Linked DNA regions of Arabidopsis thaliana. The protein of the gene in region 2 interacts with the protein of the main gene of each other region in a pairwise test. Each region holds a gene or a part of one and is shown on either strand. Other genes may lie near its edges. The genes, in order: NF-YC13, LBD26 and LRL1.

Region 1 (5,979 bases), on a different chromosome or scaffold from region 2:
TTCCCCATGCAGATTCTAGAGGTATAGCAAGAAAAGTGAAGAGAAGATCAACAAAGTCATCACCACATTCAACAAACAGAATGTTTCCTTCCTTCTTTACAACATTTAGTGTAATCGTTTGGTCAGGTGTTGATTCCTCTCTATCTTCACAGAGGCCAGGACTCGGCAATTTCTGAATCCTCTTTGTACTATATGAACTTTTCTTTTTCAGAAATGTATCGGTCAATGGATTATCCGATGTAGACAAACACTCCAGCAAAGTCGGTACCTACAAAAATTAAGAGAAAATAGCATAAGAGCATGAAGTTTAAAAGTCTAGCTGAAGAAAAATAATACCTCTTCGAGATTAACGTCATGAATCTTCTCATCCAACTTTTCACAATCTACGTAGCCAAGATCTTTAAGAACATTAAGTGTCAACCTAACAGAGGTAATTTCCACTTTCAAATCATCAGTGATCATGAATGAAGTATGATCACTCCTAACAAATACTCCACCTTCAACACCATTTCCTGCACTGGCTAGGCCTCCTCTTCCATCAAGCTGAGTCACTTCATTCATCAAAACACCACAGCTACATCTCGAGGTATTAAAATTGCTGTAACTTTCAGTACATTGCTCACGTTCCACAAACTTAGGACACACGAAATACTTGGTAGCCTCGGAATCATCTACCCTCAGCTTAAGGTTTCGACATTTCTCATGATTCAAACTGCCCGGATACAAAAGCATTTGCTTACAAGCTTCAGTCAAGAAATGCTCAATGCCCATACTCACAACACTTGCATATATATTGCTGAAACAGCCTATTGCTATTTTCTGTGACTTCTTATACATCTCCAGCAATCTAACAATCGTTCCCATTGGCAAAGTAAAAAAACTAAAGAGTAAATCGACAAAATCTTTACCCGCCTCAACAAATACAACTTTGTTTTTCTCTTCATCTATGAGTAGTTTCAACTTAATCACCGGATTCTTCAAAGTAGCTGACATGTCTTGATACAAAATCTGCACTGATACAATGAAAAAGGTCACTTTTTACACAGCCATGTTAGAGACGATAGCTACATTGATTTTGTATAAATAGGTAACAATTTTATAAAAGCTAAACAGAGCGGAGTCTGTTCATATATCATACATGCTAAAATACGTAACGAGGCTAACAATGAACAAAAACCTCAGAAGAACATAGTCTAACGTGGCATCAAAGAAATGGTTTCCTAGTGCTTAGAAACAGAAGAAACTACAAACACATCAATTCTTGGAAAAACTACTTTCATAAATATTCAACAATATGATCTATATATGCTGCGTAAGATTTTACCTTGTTAGAGTAAACCAAGCAATTGTGTTCTTTTCATAGGACTTGAGGTTTTATATAAAGCTTAAGTGGAGGAAGTGGAACAGTTTAGAGAAGACATGGTCAAAGGCCTTAATTAAAGGTTTCGGGAATGGAAGAGGCAACAAATAACGAAGTAAATCCAATTCGCCGGGTTCATGTACCACAAGTTCCGAAAAGAACACAATTGCTTGGTTTATGTTGTTTAATTATAACGGTTCAAGTTCTCATAATAACTAAACGGAATATTAAAGAAAGTGGATGTTCCATTGGATTCAATCAATTTGATATGTCAACATAATCACTTTTTTCTTTCACAATTCCGAGAACATAATAAGAGCTTTTGGACACTCAAGTCATCATTGAATACCACTAGACTTGGTCTGAAACCATAAAAGCAAATAAAGAACATATACCAAATCCACACTACAAAGCAGATGATATAAGATGAAGTTTGAGAGGAGTTATTGAGAAATGTAACCATGGATAGTGATCTTGAGAAATATCACACTTTCTTGTTAAAAGTTTCAGACTTTACCCATCAGACTGGTTCACTTCTACTCTAGAAAACTTGTCAGAATGAAAAACTAAAGAAAACTGAAACATACATTCCGCAAAAGCTTTCATTTTGCTCGGTCACAACCGCGCTTATTAGCTCACAATCAAAGAAAGTATAACATACTATTGTAACGGCGACAACTTCTATAGCCATGTTCTTTCAGAAGAACATAAACACTCAAAAGTAGTATTCATATAAGAATAGCTTAGAAGAACAATACACATCCCAAACCTCTCTCTCTCTCTCTCTCAATCTCTACACACCAAAGTTAGAGCAATGCAGAGATTTCTAAGCAACACAATGAGATGTATCTCACAGTCACAGGACAAGAATCAGTTTCTCCAATTAGTAGAAATGCTAATAGACACAACATCTTTAAAATTACCAATTCCTATAAAAGTTCCTCATGATCCATACATTCTCACTACACTTTTAGCAAAACAAGATTTTGATTTGAGAACAGAGTAAAATTTGCAATTGTGAACAAAATGAGAAATTTTACTTTAGGCTGAATCAGTCTTTGCTTTCCCTTTACTGAAGAAATCATCGATACGACGAGTCCCAATTGGCGGCGCCGGAATCTTCTTGTCGGAAACCGATTTGGTATGTTTGACAGGCTGAGCCGGCAACGGAAGCGAGTCTAAGAGGAAATCACTAGTAGGTTGGTGTCTTTTCACGGCGATTCTTAAATGATCGAGATTAACAGTCTTACGCTTCTTCTCCGCCGTAACAACAGCAGATTTCTCGGCGAGGAAGTGGAGGAAGAGTTCGGTGGAGTAAGTGATGACGTGAAGAGCTTCTGAGTTGATTTTGTTGATGTCTTTGTCCAGTTTCATTATCTTCTTTACTCTTCCGATTGGAAACTCTGGTCGGATTGATCCTTCTTCTTCCTCCATGGATTTTGATTTTGATTCTGTTGAGAAAATCTGATTAAGGTAATGAATTGTATATGTTCGACATTTTTAGGGTTTTGAGATTTACGCGCTCTGTCACGGCGGGAAAATGAAAATGAGCAATGAGAAAACATGTAAACCGGATTAACCAAAACAGCCCGAACGAAGATTTTGCTAATTCGGGTTTTCAGCTTAAACCGATTGGTGAGATTGAGAAGAACGTTTGGTAACCCGGTATGGTTCGTAGATTTTTATGTTGTAGAGATTGTTTCTACATGAGTCACTGTCTAGCTCAAACTAGTACTAGTAGTCTATTTTAAAGTTTTATATTGAAAATTTTAACCGATTCTTTCTTTTACTTGGATCACATTGTACAAGGAATTCTAGAAAGCTACAAGTTGGTACAAATCTCCTAGCTACCTGAATTGAACCCCATTGATCCTTCACGAACGCAACGGATTTAAGGAGTGGCATATCGAACTAGAAATGCCATCAAATAACAAATGAGCTTTAGAGATAGTTCCAAGTGTGGATAATGATTTGAGATTATACTTCTATATGGCTGTAGGAAGCCTTTTTTTGGCTCCGAGATGTTTCTAATCTTGAGACTTGAGAGACCATCTACTACAATTGTAGCTGTTTAATTTGTTATAACTAATCCGTTTCCTCTTTACTATTCGCAGCTTTTCACAAAATTCACACACAACACTCCTTCCTCTACAACGTTTTGAGGTTGTAGACATGAACCAATTTCATACCATTGGAACAAGAGGCTGTTGAAACATCTCATGGTCACATATTGAGTACTAGACATGAACCAAACACATCCAACAAAGTCCATTTACAACAATATACAAGAAGAAGCTAACTTTTCGTATCATTGGATCAAACCCATCATCTTAATTCTTAATAGTTAATACTAAAGATTTGAGCCACCAATAATGACAAATTCGAATATTTTGACTATGAACAGTAACAAAACAACCCAACACAAGAAAAAATATCACAGAAGCTATCAAATCTGTTTCTCATCTATGTGTATATATATATAATCAACTTACAAGACAGAGAGTGAGAGAGTTCAAGAGAGAAGAATCGTTTACAAAGTATACAAATTTCTTGAGAATCATCAATAAGGACGATTCGGTGGCTGAACCGTAATCTGAGCCGGTAAAGGTCTACCAGTTCCAGAACCACCACAATTGCTACAAGCCGCACGACCTGAACCAGAACACCTACGACATCCAACGTCACCATCGGACCATCGAGAACAGAAACACGTGACTCGTCCAGTACCGTTACAAGTCGGACAACGAGGGAATTGACCAGCCATAGGCTTTTGGTCCATGACTGATTTGATAAAGACCGCACCGGCTAAAACGCTGATTCCTGTAGCTAACTGGGTTATGACGATCGGACTCATTGTTGGTTTCAATAAGAGAGAGAGGTTTGGTTTTGGTTGCCAATTTTGGGGATAACGCAAAAGTAGAATCGTGAAGAAATTGAAGAAGAGAGACGTCTCGAGGAAAAAATAAAAGTTTTTTTTTTTTTTGTGTTCAGACAAAAGTGTGGTCTTGTTTTAATTTGATACGGTTCGGTTTATTTTTGAAGTAAATACAATTTTGGGAGATAAGGGAATGGTTGAGAAAGTAAACACGTGGGCTAGTGAGGGTTAAGTTGTTGTGTGAGGAGATGAATGAAACAGCCGTGTTTTTTTTGGATACTCCAGTTTTTGGATTTGGGTTTTTATTGGGCTGTGTGTGTAAAATATCTTCTACAAGTGTACAACCTTCAGATTTTTCTTTTTTTTCTTTTTTTTTTTCGTCAGATTTTTCTTTTTTTTAGATTATCATTGATTTATCTGACTGCTTGCTTTTTTTTTTTTGTCATCAAAGAAGCAAGCAACTAATTTTTCTACTAAAAAAAATCAAAATTTTATTTATAGTAATTGAGGCCACAAGCTTGTGTTTGACCCGCTTGTACTTATGGACGGCTCTGTATTTTACCTAATAGATTTGAATGGTAACCATTTTAATAACAATACAATTTTGACAGTTACTAATCACAAAAACTTTATCAAAAGCGTTACAAAAAAATTTACTCTCAGTTTTTTTGTACAGCTCATTTTAACAGTTTTACACTATTCCGATAAAGCTAACAGCTAAATAACTTGTATAGTTTTTGGTTACCAATCAGACCCAATATATATGTTCTGTGTGATACAGTTCTTTTGTTGACTTTTATAACATAATAAGTTTCTCGTTAGAAGTTTTTCACAAATTCACTGTAAATTAATTAATTGATTAATCGAAAGTATAAACTATGTTACGAATTAGTCAATAGGGAAATGATTAAGTTTGCAGTGATAACCGAACTTACATGCACTAAAATTAGAGGAATGTAATTCTTACTTTGTTTGGTTAGGGTTTATTGTTCTATTGTTACTATTATATTGTTGTACTATCTTGCAAGGGTTGCAATTGTAACCTTCCATTTCATTTTTTGGGTTAATTTTGTTTCTTTCACGTTTGTACTATAACTAGGTTGCTTGAATTATCAGGCGATGCACTCTTCTCCACAAACAAATCACGCGTCGAACGCAGCCATAAACATGTCCAATGGTGGACGAAGAAGCAATTCTCACAACCGCACGTGCTTACTTCCAATATCGGGCTTTTCAAATTCGGCGTGGGCCGAGTGGCCCATATATGAAGATTCTGAGCTATTGTTGCATCATTTTGAAGTTTTTATTATTGTATACTAGATGAGTACCCGCACTACGTGCGGGTTTATGTATTACTATTTACAAATTGTTTTATATAATGTCTGTTCATATAAAGTAAAGTTAAATGCATCGGTTTTGAAACATAAATATGATTTGTAATTGTTTTCAAAAAGTCCAACTATATTAGTTCATCTGAAAACGAAAATGCTTGAGTTATTTTTTATTGTTGTTCTAGATTCTCAGTTTTTTTTTTTAATTTATATATCCTTGTTCTTTTGGTTATATATTTAGTTTGTGAAACGGTGAAATTTTAGAAAATTTCTTTCTTACATTTAAAATATAACATGTTTTTATTAACCATGTCTCTGCATAACCAATCTAATCATATTCAACTTGATGTTCTTGGAAAGTTTAGTTAAGTTCTTGTCATAATCTTCTATCTTACGTATTAGTTTTAAGGATA
Region 2 (8,218 bases):
TATGCCATTAGATAAATAATGTGGTCGTTTGTCAAGTTCCATGAGATACTGAAAAATTGTTTGGGGTTAAGACTTGTGCATACAGACAGCAAAACAACATGTTTTCATCTACACGGATTTTAAAAGAATCACCTGAGAGCTTCTTGCTAGTTCAATGCCAATGTTAAAAGAAGGAGTCAAGGGGCTTTGTGACCCTACTCCATAGCCAGCAGCACAACTCCAGTTTCTTGGGTCTGTGTACTTTGCCAAATCTTTGCTTCCATCTAAAACAAAATCCAATAACAATTGTTGATGCTCACTTTCTTTCAATCACATAATTTATAGATACTAGTTTCCACATGTGATGCGTAAAATCTGTTCAACAGAAATAAAACAATGTAAACTAACTCACGTAGCGGCTCATATTGTACTCCTACTGTAAGACTTCCCATCTTGCTTACAAGCCATGCATGCTTTGGCAATTCGTTATTCGCTGAATTGAAGAATCAAAGGGTCAGCATTGTGTCCAAAAGAAAACAACGTGAATTCACAGAGCAACTTTATGCGCTTACCACTAAAAGGAGTGACAGTAGCTCCGACAGACAAATTCGTTGAGCCATATCTCAACCCCATGATTCTATATTCTTCAGATGATTTTCCACTACAGAGACAACATATATTCACCCTCACAATATTACATCTAATCTAAATATAACAACAGGGTACACACCTAGATACGACTTACGTAATTTTTGAAATCAAAGGGTAGACCGCAAATGCCCCGATTCCATATTTAGGATAGTAAGCAGAAGACCTCATTAGAAGAACCCTTAATGATGATGACAAACAAAACAAACAATTTCAAAACATTAAACTACTGTAATGAACATAACCTCCAAGAATATATCAAAAGTAGCACAAAGTTTACGGATTCGAGGTTGACACAGAGAGATCAACAAAAGTATGAGGATCATCAACATCACTGCATATTTATCAAAAACAAACTAATCAGTATTCCAATTCTCCAACAACTACTTGTAATCTTTCAGATTAAAAACTAAAGAATCTATACCTTTGCCAGCGAAACTCCGCATTCCCAACAAAATCTCCTTCCACTCTACCATCTACAGCACCCGAAACCTTTAGACTATTAAGGAAAATTCTGATTTTCTACATATCCCTAATACATCCATTTAGAGAAAATTCTCGAATCATCACTATATAGAAACTAAATAACACAAAAGAGATTTCAAAATTGGATACAGATGCAACCAAATCCACATGAGGATCATCAGTAGGCTTCAACAAAAACTTGCCCGTGAATCGATTAGCTTCTTCAAAGTAATCCTCAAATAGACATCTCAATGCAAGCTTCCCAAACAACAAATTATATGATGATTCCAACATCCTGCATCAACAACAACAACAATTTCTCACAATCGCACAATTACAATTTAACCTATAAATCAGAATCGATCTATTTGATTAGATTAGGTTATACAAAAACTACTTCGAAATCACGCGATTCTAACAAATTGAAAGTATGAGGATCAGATCGGAGAAGAAGAGGAGATGGTAGACCTAGTGCGGGCGGAGAGAGGAGGGTAATCAAAGAGCGGAGGAACGAGTACCACCGGAGGCGGTGGTTCTTTTTTGACAAGAGCATTCCCCATTGTTCTAGAACGGAGAAGAAGAGATTCTGCGACAACGAGAGAGCTTCTTCGATGAATTCAATAGTTAGTGAGAGCTCTCGGCGATAGTCTCGCTTCTGCTTTTGCTTCACGTTTGAATATTTCAACATTCTTCTATATTAAGACTTTATATAGTAATAAACCTAAGCGGCGCTTTAAATTAACCGACTAATCCAAAAAAAAATCTTTAGAAACTAGACATTATCTTTGTAAAATTTAAATATTAAATTATTCGTATAATATTTTTTTCCCAATTTTTTGGATATTATTTATTGTTGTATACAATTTGTCAAGGTTATGGAGAATGTGTTTATGACAGTTTTGGTAATTGCAAGATATTGTGATGCATATGTGAATGTTTTGAAACCATATTTTAAGATAACATTTTATTAAATTTCAAAATTTTGGTTCTCTACACTGCTACACAACTGAAAAGTTGTTTTTGTTTTGAGATATTTTTTTCTTGGCAATTCGTGGTGACGATGATGTTGATTTGGAGTTATTGCAGCTTCTAGTGGTGGCTTTTCAAGCCTCCAAATCATCAGTTATTGGCATTGGTGGTATTTCTTTAGCTCACTGATATGTTTTGGTTTTGCCTTGATGTTGATGTTGTTGTGAGTTGAGGTATTAGCGTTGCAATGCGTTTGCTGCCTAGTGTTGTGTTTTTACTATGCACTAGTGGAGGTAGTAAGACTAGAGCTGTCAATTGGTCAAAAGGACCATGGGCTCAGCCAAACAAATACTATTACGAACATTTAAAATTTGGCCAAACTAAAACATGGTTTTAGTGGACTCAGCCCAAATAGATCTGCAGTTAGAGGTGGGTTTGACCATTTGGTCAATGGATAAGTCCACCAATTAATTATTTTTGCAATCATCTGTCTTCTTCTCTTCTTCTTCTTTCGTTTTTTCTGAAATCGAATTGGAGAAAAACACAATTGAGAATCGCTTCTAAATTCAAAGCTCTAGATTGTCTTCTTCCTTTGAGGATCGTCTTCTTCCTTCGAGGATCGTCTTCTTCTTTTGAGTATCGTCTACAATGGGTGATTTCTTTGATGAGGTACGGTCTCTTATTTTTAGATCTGGGTTTTGGTTCAGTCATTCTGTTTCCTTTAAATGTGACTTAGCTATTCATGAAAATTATTTTGCAAGATAAAAAGTTAGTATTTGTTTGTTGTTACTATAAGTTTATGTATTGAGAGATAGTTTTTAAACATCATTATCACAATGTTTTATAATATGAGTCAATGTTTTGTTTTGTTTAATTGTTTGAGATAATGGATAATGCTATTATTAACCTGAATGATGAAAACAATACCAATAAAGATTTGGAAGAAGATATGGATCATGAAGGCACTCTTCCTGAGAAAATGAAAGGTACATTCAAGCCAATTCGCCCTACCCGTAGAGTTTCTAAGTGTTGAAATAAATTCACAATAATTGGAGAGAAGTTACCTACTAGTGAACATGATATTAGATGCAACAAATGTAAAACACACTATATATTGAATCTATATAGAAATGGAATGACAACGTTGCTTTGTCATATTAGAACGTGCAATGGAAGTACACAGACTGTTCAAAAGCTAGATATTTTTTTCGTATACTGATTGCAATGGCCATTATTGAGCATGATTTACCATACTCGTTTGTTGAGTATAGGAGGATTAGAATGGCTTTTGGTTATGCTATTCTACAATTCGGTTATAGAGTAGAAACACAACATTTTAGATTAGTATTATGATGTTAAACTTTTTAAAACTATTTTATGATGACTAATTACAATGTTTGTCATGGTCATTTTAGATTAGTATTATGATGTTAAACTTTTTTTTTATCTCCATGGACATATCCAATTGGTCTTGGTCACTCTTGAACTTGGTCACTCTTTGGCTTGGTCATTTTTGTCAACAGAAAAAAAAATGTCCAACTGGACAAGACCATTTGGTCATGGTCAAGCCCAATTGACAGCTCTAAGTAAGACTAATGGTGTTTGGTGTAGCTCTGAGTTACAAAATATAGCTTTGTACTAGTTGCCTTTGGCATTGAACTTGGTAGAGAGAACTTACACCGTTTATATATATATTTTTTTTGTGAAATTCCATTCTGAAGTCGCTTATGGAAATGTTCGACGAGCAGCTCTCGTGTATGAGAGCTGTGGGTGCTTCGCCGTTGACAACTTAGTCTTGGACTTTCGTTGAAAGGTTTCTAGTGTTTTTTATCTTGGTACTTCGGCTCTTATAACTTGAAATTAACATTTGTCTCAAACAACAATTTTAATGCCAACACTAGAATCATCATCACTTCGTATAACTCTATTAGTTTGTGTTTCTGTTGAGTAGATGGACTGAAAACCATGTCTCTGATTTATTCTTACGTATTTTTAATTTCTTTGCCATACGACCATTTTATAGGTAGGTGTACAATCTTTTGATTGTAAACTTAAATTGTTTTTATTTTTATAATAAAACATTTACATATTTAGCAACAACAAAAGATTACGCATTTTTCATATCTTTAACCCATAATGAAGAGGCTTGTTGGTGGTCTATGCGTTAAGTTAACAAGTACTATGCTGCTGCGTTAGTTTTATGTTACACACTTGTGCAAGCTCACAATGTTAAACGATTTCGGATAAAGAATAATAACACTAAAGCATTTTGATAATTTTGTGGTGTGGGGGAGGGGGATGCAACAAGGTACGTCAAAGTATTAGAGGTGGTGTTGCTCTTTTTTTGGGGAAAAAGCTCCATCTTTCTAATTTCAAATGACTTTTTATTTGCTAATTGCTTCAATTTCAATTTTAAGATAATATTTAAACAATGAGAGTAAAATTTAAAATTCAGAAAATCGGGATCTAATTTTACAATAAAACATAATTTGTAGGGAACAAATTTTGAGGGCCCTAGTCCCAAGTTTCGATATGCTACACATCGCGCCGGCTTTAGGGTATTGTAATAAAATAGCGAGTTAATCATTTTCCGATTATTTTTATGTTTTTATTAGACTTGCTTATTGAATAATTCCTCTTATGTAGTTGTTTTCTTTCAAAATATTAAAACAAAAACGAAGTCGTTTTTCAATATACAAATATAATCAAAGTCGTTTTGATTTAATGAAAAGAAAAACCCTAGTTTTCTCTCTATATATATCAATGCATCCGCCTCATCTTTCTTCCACTATATTCCAAGTTCTGAAAAAGTCTCCACATAATCTCCTTCGTTGGTAAGTGTGATTAATCATATATTTTTGTTTCATATTTTTGTATAGAAAACATAAATCTAAATATATAGTGTTTATTAGATAATTTTAGGAGGCTATATGAGTTGTGTTTATCTGAAAGGATTTCTATCAAAATATATGAGATATACTAGATCTAAAATATTTCGATATACAAAGCACTAAAATTCCAAAAAAATAATTTCTACTTCTTATTTGTGTATAATTATATTATTTAAGAAATTAAAATTGTATTGTAATTGCAAACTTTGATGTCTTATGTAATTTGTATATCATTTTTCTGTTTTGCAGTTATTTCGAGAAAAAATAGGCAAAACAAAATGAATGCAAACCCATGCGAAGTTTGCAGGTTCCAAAATAAACAATGCGTCAACAACTGCATGTTTGCTCTGCTATTTCCTTCAAGTGATCTAGAGAAATTTGATGTCGTCAATCGCATCTTTGGACTCGAAACTTTGACATTCTACCTCAAAGACCTTTCACCTATGGAACGCATAGATACTACCCGCACACTCTATTACGAGGCAAAACCATGCTTTCTGAACCCACCCAAGAACCCCTCAAAATTCCTCGAAGCTCTTCTAAATTATCCTTACCAAAAAGCTGAAGAGGTGTCCAAAACAAAGAAGTTGCTCGCATCTTACTCGAGACCATGTGTAGTATTGGCTCTTCCTGCACCAAAATATACTCAGTCGAAATCTAAACCATCTGTTTTGCGCAAAAGAAAAAGAAAGACTAAATCATCGGATGAATCGGCCATTCGTGTGGTTGAAGATTCCTAGATGGTCATTGTTGAAGATTTTTTTTTCTTTCTAAAAGTGAATCTTTGGAACCAAATATGCTTTTAATTTAATTTCAAATAAAATAAAATATGCTTTTATTTCTATGTATTTTGATTTCTTTTTCTTGATGACTTATCTTTCTTTTGAATTATTTATGGATTTTATCAAAGTATATATTATCCATTACATATACTTAATTAGCGTAATTGTAGACTTTTTTTTTAGAAAATATTTTTAACACATCCAGATGTTTGCACATATCCTTTCATGTTTGATTACCAAATTTTCCTTTTTTATGGTCAACATAAGAAAAAAACTTACTATTCATGTGTTAAATATACTTACATTATTGTAAATATAAATAAATAAAATGTAAAAATTCATGAAATTCTATCTTAAACTTTATTAGCATTGGCTAGCGTGTCAAAGACTTTTTCATATTAGACTAGGTATTTAATTATTAGATTTCATACCTTTTCTGTTTAATTATTAATTTTCCCCTTTTAATGGTCAACAGAAAAGAAAAGAAAAAAACTTACTATTCGTGTGTTAAATCTACATACATTATGGTAATTGTAAATCAATAAATAAAATGTGAGAATTCATGAAATTCTATATTAAAACTTTATAATATTGACTCTTTTAACAAAAAAAACTTTATTACATTGACCAGAGTTGTTCAGGACTTTGTTTTTATATTAGGCTAGGTATCCAATTATTAGATTGCATACCCTTTTCTGTTTAATTACTATTTGTTTTCCTTTTTTATGGTCAACAGAAAAAAACTTACTATTCATGTGTTAAATAAACAATACATTATTGTAATTATATATAAATAAATAAAATGTGAAAATATATGAAATTCTATCTTAAACCTTATTACATTGATTTTTTTAAGAGTTTAAATGGGTGCTTGAACTTGCTTTGAGATATAGATATTGTGTTGGAAATGAAAAGGTACTTGGAAATGCTTAGAACATGAACTTAAGTGGAGATTTGGTGATTGCCTAAAAAAAATATGGGAGATTTGGTGATATGAGTTTAGTCTAGGGAAGCATTTGTCTTGAGTTTTTTTTATAAGGAAAAATATATAGCGGAGTTTATGTAGGTTTCTAATTTATGTTGTTTTAGTATACATGAATTTAAAAGAAATCTAACTTCTTTCAAATTTAACTGCTTTTAGTTCAATTCTTTTGAATTTGTTTAACAACGGTTGCACAAATTGTAAAAACATTATTTTTTTTTCCAATTTAATTTAACATTACATTATTTTATATATATATATATATATATATATATATATATATATTTAGAAACGTTGTAAGTATTTTCACGTTTGGTCTCGTACCCAATTTAACATTTTACCGTCACTTTAAGCATATGTGTTTAGCTTCGACAAAACGTTGACATTGAGCTAGTTAGCCATTTGATCTACAAAATCATAAAATTTGACTGCAAATAGTCAAGCAAAGTGTCCCACGTGATTACATCAACAACTTGCTATACAAACTTTGATAGATCTATTTATTTTATAATCTCTACTTGTTGATCATATAATTTCCTATACCCTCTTACCTTAATATAATCCATTAGGAAAGCTTAACATGCCATATACATCGTGAACCAACGACTTCAATAAATACCAGACTAGTTTCTTATTGTCAAGCTCATCGCATCCACTTACTTGACATGGCTATTTCTAAAATAACCCTTGCAATCATCGTTTTACTTCTAGGGTTCACTGAGAAATTATCTGCCTTGTCGAGTAGTTGTAATTTTCCGGCAGTTTTTAACTTTGGAGATTCAAATTCTGACACCGGAGCTATCTCTGCGGCCATTGGAGAGGTTCCTCCACCTAATGGAGTTGCATTTTTTGGAAGATCCGCCGGAAGACACTCCGATGGCCGTCTCATTATAGATTTCATTAGTAAGTATCTTTGATTTTCAATTTTACCCTTTTGTAAATTCTACTAACTATATTCATTAGCAACTTAATTCTACATTGATTTTAGAGTATAAGATAAGAGAAATTTTTGTGTTGCCAATTTGTTAACACTTATATATAGAGTTGCAGAAATCTCTATTTTAGAATCAATTATAGAGTAGGGTTAGAGAAATGTTTTGCATTTTTACTTAGAGTAGGGTTGGAGATGCCCTTAGTATATTTGAAACACACATTTGCTTCTAGTTATTGAATCGATTTTGACGATATATTTGTTATGATTTTGGGCAGCCGAAAATCTTACTTTGCCGTATTTAACACCATACTTGGATTCGGTTGGAGCTAATTACCGGCATGGTGCTAATTTTGCGACGGGCGGTTCTTGCATCCGCCCCACACTTGCTTGTTTTAGCCCATTCCATCTTGGGACTCAAGTGTCCCAATTCATTCACTTTAAGACTCGTACCTTGTCTCTCTACAACCAAACCAACGGTAAGTTCAACCGGTTAAGTCATACAAATTACCAAACCAGAATTTAAAACTAAAACTAAGTCTTCTACATGTTTTGTTTTAATGAAAACTTT
Region 3 (8,394 bases), on a different chromosome or scaffold from region 2:
GGGTTCTGCCATGTTTGCTAATGGAGACAGAAAACGCTGCAATCTACGAATTTGCTAAAAAAATTCTAATTTACATTTGAATTGATTGTACAGTAAAATCGCAACAAAATATTGGGGAAAAAACCCGAAGATTCATTTGGCATAAAGAGATATGATCGTACCGTAACTTGGAGCCCAAGGTCTCTGGAGAATTTGAAGGAAGAGAGAGTGATTTTGATTAAGCTTTAAAGAAATTGAGTATACAAAGGAAGAATCGCTTCCGCTGTAGCAATTTACTGTTAGTGTCGATTGTGAAGTTTGCCCTAGACTAGTGTCGTAGACGAGAAGATTTGAGGTGGGACATGAATTGAGAAAGAGGTGGGATTCGGTTCGAGATTGAATTGGGAAATTAACCGAAGGAATTGGCCGGTTAAAATCAAGTGAAGCTGATTAAACAATTCGGGTTTTGATTTTGAATATAAAGATCACGTTTGATAGTGGATTGATAGGCAAAGCTTTGCGAGATGTATCTTTGATCATTTGGAACACGCAAAGTGTTGTGTTCTTGTTCGTTCAATTCTAAAACAAAACGATTGATTGAAAAGGTATGAGTTTGTGAAGTTTGTGCAATAGATTGCAAGGTTAAAGCGATTGGCTTTGATCGAATGGGAGCATTTCCGATACATGTAGCGCCTGGATATTCAAAAAATGGAAAATTGAAAATAGAGAGGCTGCTCGAAAACACTCAAAGTTAAAAATAATGTATTAGACTTAGGGCTTGATTGGTTCTCCCTTTACCACCCGCAAACGCTTGTTAGCGATTGACACCAATCATAGAAATCGTTAGATATCGTTTTGGACCGCTCGAAATCGCCCGTTTTTCAAAAACTCTTTTCCGCAATCGTTTGCGGTTGCGAGCGGTAGCGGTTAGGTTAAAAAAAAATATCATTTTTTAATTAAATTAAATAATTGTGGCTTCCATCCAAACTCTAATTACTATAATTAAAATAATCTAATCTTTTATATATCTGATTTTTATTAGAAAACCTTAATCAATATATTGTAATCGTATTGTCTCAATTATGGCATCCGATGAAAATCAAAATCAAGAATCAAACATAAGTATCATCTATCCTTTTATTCATTCATTACCTAGTGTAATTCTTTAACTATTTCATAGCATCGTTGTTTTTATTTTATTTTGTATTCTTTTGAGTTTTTTGATTGAATACATGTTTCGATTTGTTTTCTCGATTAGAAATCATTTGGTCGGACGAGATGATATATTGTATTTTTATTTGGTCAGAAAATCAAATTTTCTAATATTATAAATTTATCATAATATATTGTATTTTTATTTCTTTTAATAGTAATATATTATATTTATTTTGGTTATTTTTTATTTAATTACTATCGCATCCGCTGGTTTACCAGTCAAACCCCGCAAACGCACCCATTATCAAACGCTCAACCAGTCGTTCAAAACTCTTGATAACGCTTAAAACCGCAACCGTCCGTTTCCGCAAACTCCCGCAATCGCAACCGCATCCGCTGTGTTTAAACCAGTCAGGCCCTTAATTTGGAAATGTCGTTTGCTAAGATTATTTTTCTTTAAATCGATCTGTATATGAAAGAGTATGCACGTCTCAAAGTGTTTAGGAAGATATTTTCAAGAGGAAAGGCATTAAACAAAAAGAGAGTCATAAGGATATTTCAAAGATATGATAAATATATATTGAAATATTGGGTTGTATAGAGAGCAATAATTTCCTAATGGAAAGTAGGAAATATGCTAGTTTGGCAAAAGGGAATGAGGACATGAATTTTTTACATAAGAGACAGGCTTTGTTTGGGTTAGCCAAAATATTTAGGAAAAAAAAAAAGAGAAAAAAAACAAGTTTTGTTAATTAGCGAGCTAGAGTTTCCTCGATGGAATACGTTTTGGTTTCTAGGTTGTGTTCATAGATCAAAGATGTAATTTAAAAAGAAAAATTAATTTTGTAGTGTGGATTTGAGATAGACGTGTGTTGTGATAAAAAGTTAATGGTGTCAAGTTAAGAAAATGTTTTAGACTTTTTAGTATTGAGTAGGTCCATTTAAACAGACTGCTACTGTAAAATTGTTAAATGATGATTGATGTCTATAGTGAAAATGTATAGACGTACGTACCTCTTTGTTTTGTACAGAATTTGTATATTCTTCAAACTCATATCCTAATATTTAGACTTGTGCGATCCATAAACATCTAAAGTCTTGGATTCAATATTTGAGATTTGAGAGACGAGATTATAACTCCATCTCTAAGTGAAAAACCAATATACTATTTTTTTCTTTTTCTAGCCTAATATTCAGATCAACGATACCAACTTTATTTAATAAAAATAAAACATATTGCAACCATATATTTAAAAAAGAAAAAGAAATGTCCCTTGAATGGTTTTGTAGTGCGTAGGTAAAAGAACCAAAACTCTACGAAAAATATGGCTTCGTTCAGAGAACACATCAAACAACCTCAACCTCATTCTTCGTAGACTTTGACTTTATCTCCCACTTCACCCCACTTTCTCTTTGTTTTTGGTATCTCTCTGCCTAACCCCAAAAGTAAACGGCCGTTATCACGCTTTCGAAACGGATACGGCCTCTTTAACGGCGATAGAAGACGACCTCTCGGTCACGCCGTTACCGTTTAATTTCCCATTACCGCTACCCATTTTTGTACTCGTCGACTGTATGGTCATGCCAGAAAGATTGGGAGGGGAAGGACCTCCGACGTCGGCAACAGCTCCAGGGATCAAAGGGTTACGGGAGTGACACGTGGCGGTTGAGATGGCGGTGGCTAAAGAGATTGGCATGAGACAAAGACCTTTCCCTTGAAGATATTGCATGGCCGAGCCCATGTCTTCTTCCATTAGTTTGGCCACTTGATGTTCCGTCATTGTAACGCTGTCGTTGGAGTTTCCGGCCGTCTGGCTACCGCCGACCATGGCGGAGGATGCGTTCCCGTGGGATCCACCAGCCTAAGCAAAATAAAACAAAACATTTTGAAAAACAAAAAGACAAAGAAAGCGAAACCCTAAGTGATTAGTCGGCACGCGTGCTCTCTTTTATATTTCTCTATTTTAGAATTATAAAATTTGTCTTATTTGTTTTCTGTTTCTGGAAACTTTTTACATTCATTTTGTTTTCAACGTCTTGCACGATTTATCTATTTTTACACACCAAAATAATATTTTGTAAAATCTAATTAACATTATAAGAGAAAAGTGATTGTCTAATTTCTTAATTTTGTCCATTGGCTTTGATGTTTATTGAAATTTATGAAAAATGAGTACGTAGAGATAGTAATATATTAGTTACCTCGGAGATTTGAGAAGAAACGGAAGCAGCACCTCCCAATCTGCTCATGCTCAGTACCTAAAACGCATAATTAAATTCAAAACAGAATGATTAAGTACACTGGTCCACTAATTTATAACTTAAAAACATTATTTATCATGTATGTATTTATATGACATAATAATCCAGAATGTATATATAAAATTTGAGGAGGGAGCATAAGGAATTTTAGTTGCAGAGGCCCATAAATTTGATATATTGGTATGTAAAGATTGTACTAATATGTCAGCTTTTCTTTTTGTTTAATATGTCAAACTAAAAGGCAAAAAAACGAATCTTCCATCTATATTGAAGAGAATAAAATAAAACAAATTGCACTCTGTAAAAGAATTACCCCTTGTACGTATGAAAAACAAACTTAATAAAATAATAACTGTAAATATATGAGAGAGAGGGAGAGATTCACCTTGACTTGGAGTTGTAAAAACTTGACATAATCTATGATCTCATCGAGCATCGATGCCTTGTCTGTCTGTCCATTATTATACAAATAAAATACAAAAACAAAACTGTCAGAACTGAGATCCTAACTCATTTATTACTGCATTAGTTAACTTTATTATTGTAGCCTAATTAATTAATTAGCTAATCAGTGTTTAATCATTTGATTGATATATACTACTAGCTACTCCTATATATAGATAGACTACACAACCACCAATTATATGAGTAAAACAAAAAATATAAATTTACTTGTTAACTCCTGAAAGTTCTAGTTGACAGCCTAAAACTATCTCTTGAACAACTAGCTCCAAGAAAGTTCCTGATCATTTCGACACTTATTTTCATTATTTATTTTGTATTTTTTCAATTTTAGGTCTAGAAGATGAGAACTATAAATAGACGATGGAGTTTAAATTGTAAATTAGATGGAATTATGGATCGCACGAATCAAGAGTGGATGATGAATAAAATGATGGAAAGTGAAGTTTATTTTCATAATGATCCATTTAATATTTTAACTAATCTTAATTTTTGGAAACTAAACTGAAAATGAATTGAATAAAAATTTACCTTATTGCCGTTAGGAACGAGTTCTTGAAGAGCTTTCATTCTTTCCGCAATTCTCTCTCTTCGTAACTGTCCCATAAAAACATTTTTTCCAGAAAATACTCAAATCTTTTCTTCAAAAAGCTAAAAAAAATTCAATTTCGACACCTTTCTCGGTAACTGATACAAATTAATGCATCGAACAAAGTAAAATAAAAAACAAAAACAACTAACCCTTTCGGCGATACTATGAGGATCAGTTGCTTGACCTCTCCTAGCTCGGATTTTAGTCCTACTCTGCGGCGGAGCCGCCACCGTACCACCAGTAGCTGTAGACGCGCTCGCCTGAGGTTGCGTTTGCGTTTGCGTTTGTCCTTGTTGGTTCATCAATCCTCCTCCCGATCCCTATATTTCACCATAAGTCTCGTTTTCAAGAAGAGAAAAACTTAGAAAAGAGAAAGAGATTATACCTGAGGGATTTGAAAGTTAGGAAGAGATCCGGCGACGGAGAAGCCATTATAAAGAGCGTGGACGGAGGAGCCATCATTCAAAGGCATCATCATGATCGGCTGATTCCTTGAGTCGACATCGTGGCCGTGGAAGCCATCGGAGGGAAGAGGATGAGCATCATCGACGACGGAGGGCCACGGGGCCGAGGAAAAGATTTGATCGAGGAAGTCTTCGTGGTCGAAAGTTGTTGATGGAGTTTGGATATGGGAAGAAGATGAAGAAGAAGGAGTTAGAAGAGAAGAGTTCATCATGATGATGATGGGTTTCTTCTGCTTCTACACTTTTTTTTGGGAAGAGGTTGAAAAATGTTGAGGTTTATAGCTTTATTATAAAGCAGAATTGTTGTAGTCTTGTAGATATATTATTTTAATTTTAGGTTTTAATTATCATTTTTGGTGATATATTATTAAAACCTTAAAAGAACTTTTGTTTTTCTATTGTGGTTAGCAACCCATATTATATCGTGATGATGAATCGATGATTATCATCTTTTGTTTCGTTTCCGTCTTAAACTTTGGTTTCTCTTTACCCCAAATCTTAATCATTATTTTTTACAGCTTAATACGTATGAAAATAAGTCTTTTTTTAATGTACATATTGCTATCTAAAGAGTTTTATTTGATTATACTTTTTCAGATGCAAACTAGTTTTATTTTACTATACAAATATATATTAAACATTGATGGATAAGAAGTTTATTTATATGGTGCTAAGTGTAATAGCTAGCTTTTGTATACAATTATAGTTTTCTTAGATAACATTTATTGTTTAGCAATTTTATTATTTTTGTGTTTTCATGTAGTTTAATGATTTGTTTTGTTGTTGTAAAATAAATGTTGTTTTCATTTTTCTATACAAAAATTAAATATATTTAATATTTTTGATCAATTATATTTTGTTACATATTTTTTATTAATTAAATTAGGTGTAATTAATAATGTTTTTATAGAAAGGAAATAATTTAAATGAGATTTTTGTGTTTTGTTAATATGTGTAAAAAATCTTATATAAATATTATACTGTATATGGGTGATGATGGCATGCCCGTGATTATTAGTGCCTTTCTTACGTTTCAATTGTGGCTTCTAAAAATTTTACATGGACCAAGGAGTTACCTAATTAGTCCCACCAAAAACCAAATACAAGGAGGATATCCTTGTCCAATCCTAGATCTGATCGATTAAATAGAGGCTTGGATATTCACTCAAAAGGTTTTCCTAAGAAGTTGATTAACCATTTGGGTGGAATTCAAAATGTTCGAGCCATTTAGCCGGATAAACGTGAATTTATCCGAACCATACCAAAATCAAAAATACTTACTTACCCATTGAAAAATCCATTCGACCTAACGACGTTAACCTATTTTTTTTCTTTTCAGAGAGTACATCATTTTAAGGAGAATGATGAAACCAAACGACCCTTTGGATCGATGGAATTCAAGAGATGTACATTGGAGCTACCCAAAATGGTCTCGGACCACCTAAGTGTTACCCAATGATTAATCTAGCTACTTGACTATCTACAGATATACCTTAACTTCAAAATTCACTGGAAAACCAACCATTTTAATGAGAATGATCAAAAAATATTGGCTTTGGATTAAAGTAATTTAGGAGATGGTTAAAAGAGCACAGCCGCTGGTCGTTTACCCATATCTATGACCAGTTTCCAACCCATTTACTTCTAGCCCGACCAAAAACACTTGTAGTCCATCTTGGTAAGCTAATTAGTTTTACATGGTACTGCAAATTTGTTCACACACACATGGTGCATTTGTTCAACTCATATATACGAATGTTAAATAAGTTTTAAAATTGTAAATAAGTTTCTCATTATATAAAAATTTAGAATTTTCCGCAATTGATCATTAACTGAATTATGTATAGTACAAAATTACTCATAAAATGAAACATATTATATATTTATTAATACAATCCGAGAATGAAATATTACATTCATGTTTTAATAATCTTTTCACGATGATAATTGACAATGGTCTAAAATTATAAACTCGAGCAGGTACATTCATCAATGATGCTAGAGCTCTCGAAATTCTACTGTTTTTTTCTATGCCCCCAAGATCACAAACATCCTATCCCAAAGACGATACTCGTAAATTAATAATTACAAAATATGATAATAACTTTTTAAAATGAAATTCCCTATCAATATGATAACTTATCTTTTGAGCTAATCACGTACGACGTGGAGCTTTTTCTTTATAAATAGATAGTTATTATTCTTCTTTTTTTTTATTTTTATATGTAGCTGAAAATTTGGTATTTCTTTAGATTGTGCCACATTCACCATATACTCTTTTTGGGATAAATAATAACATTAAAATATTTGCAAACTTAATTTTTGTGTCCGGATGTTTGACACTTCTTCATTTGGATTCATTAACTAATACATTTAAGGTTTCGAGGTCTGTATTTTGTAGTCAGAAATATTGTTTTCCTCTTTTCCATTAATTGCTAACATGAACACATTTTAATGAAACAAAATCTCTCTATTCATTATATTTTTTTTATATAATTGCATTTTTTCACAATAAAGTTTTCTAATAATAAAATAAATCATAATAAATGCTTACGGGAGTTACGTCTCATTATCATAAAATATTTTTTGATTTCTTGTTAAAATATTCTTTTTGAAAAGTTATCTCAATTCATAGCTATTTTCTTAATTATAGTTATAGACAACAAAATTCGTGAAAGCATACTTATAAAAATCATATATGTGTGACTGTGTGCATGTATCTTCTCATGTTATAATGCACATTCATGCATATATGTATGTAGTGGTTCGTACCATGGAATAAGTTCATTGAAATAATATTCCCAAGTCAGAATTCTTTCAAAAATTTAACGATTAAACAAACATATATAGGCTCATCTACGTTCATGTATGTCTACGTATGTGCATGTGTGTATTGCATATTACGCATATAAATACGTATACATGCATATCGAGCTTTACAAGTTATATCCAACAATCTAAATGGACACGTCTTGTGTTGGCGTGTTCACTTTCCACTCTCCGAGTTATAGGTTTCAAAATGATAAAATTTTATTTTCGGTTAATCGATAGAATGTTACAGTTTTGTGTCACTCACAACTCACAAGTCACAATTTGGTCAATTAATGGTCTTTAATTTAATCAATAGAATGTTACATTAGAAGCCTCAAACTTTCACGGTTCTTTCGATAGAATGTGCACATTCTCTACGGCAATTAAGAAAGCAGAACAACCCATCTTAAAACAGAAAAAAAGAGTATAACAACCCATAATCATTGTTAAATTGTTATATCAATATTTTTATGAACAAAATCAAACCATAGTTATATTAAAGGTTTGTTAGAAAGATAAACAATATTGGAAGATAAGTTAACTTCAGTTAGGAGGTTTTATTGGTTTATAATTTTTACAATTTTTTTTGATAACTTTAGTAATATCATAGAAGATAAATAAATTAATGAAAGATTCTAAACTATTGGTAGAGAGTTTTTATAATATTAT

Evidence for each region.
Region 1: the proteins of LBD26 (region 2) and NF-YC13 interact in a two-hybrid assay, tested with the Arabidopsis thaliana proteins (one large-scale study listed by BioGRID).
Region 3: the proteins of LBD26 (region 2) and LRL1 interact in a two-hybrid assay, tested with the Arabidopsis thaliana proteins (one large-scale study listed by BioGRID).

The regions. Positions count from the first base shown.
Region 1 is NC_003076.8:17,353,773-17,359,751, forward strand, and holds NF-YC13 (nuclear factor Y, subunit C13), read right to left. Parts: upstream 2,935-5,979; 5' UTR 2,795-2,934; coding exon 2,402-2,794; 3' UTR 2,073-2,401; downstream 1-2,072. Other genes in the region: AT5G43240 (hypothetical protein (DUF674)), read right to left, coding at 1-268, 337-993; AT5G43260 (chaperone protein dnaJ-like protein), read right to left, coding at 3,921-4,214.
Region 2 is NC_003074.8:10,370,667-10,378,884, forward strand, and holds LBD26 (LOB domain-containing protein 26), read left to right. Parts: upstream 1-2,584; 5' UTR 2,585-2,730; intron 2,731-4,336; exon of another isoform or gene 4,337-4,619; intron 4,620-4,873; exon of another isoform or gene 4,874-4,895; intron 4,896-5,201; 5' UTR 5,202-5,230; coding exon 5,231-5,692; 3' UTR 5,693-5,795; downstream 5,796-8,218. Other genes in the region: AT3G27930 (beta-galactosidase), read right to left, coding at 133-263, 392-472, 552-640, 725-808, 908-961, 1,052-1,119, 1,243-1,387, 1,561-1,652; AT3G27950 (GDSL-like Lipase/Acylhydrolase superfamily protein), read left to right, coding at 7,382-7,619, 7,926-8,126.
Region 3 is NC_003071.7:10,317,052-10,325,445, forward strand, and holds LRL1 (LJRHL1-like 1), read right to left. Parts: upstream 5,373-8,394; 5' UTR 5,127-5,372; coding exon 4,836-5,126; intron 4,807-4,835; exon of another isoform or gene 4,771-4,806; coding exon 4,600-4,770; intron 4,456-4,599; coding exon 4,390-4,455; intron 3,848-4,389; coding exon 3,782-3,847; intron 3,394-3,781; coding exon 3,337-3,393; intron 2,997-3,336; coding exon 2,595-2,996; 3' UTR 2,162-2,594; downstream 1-2,161. Other genes in the region: AT2G24255 (LOW protein: F-box/kelch-repeat protein), read right to left, coding at 1-12.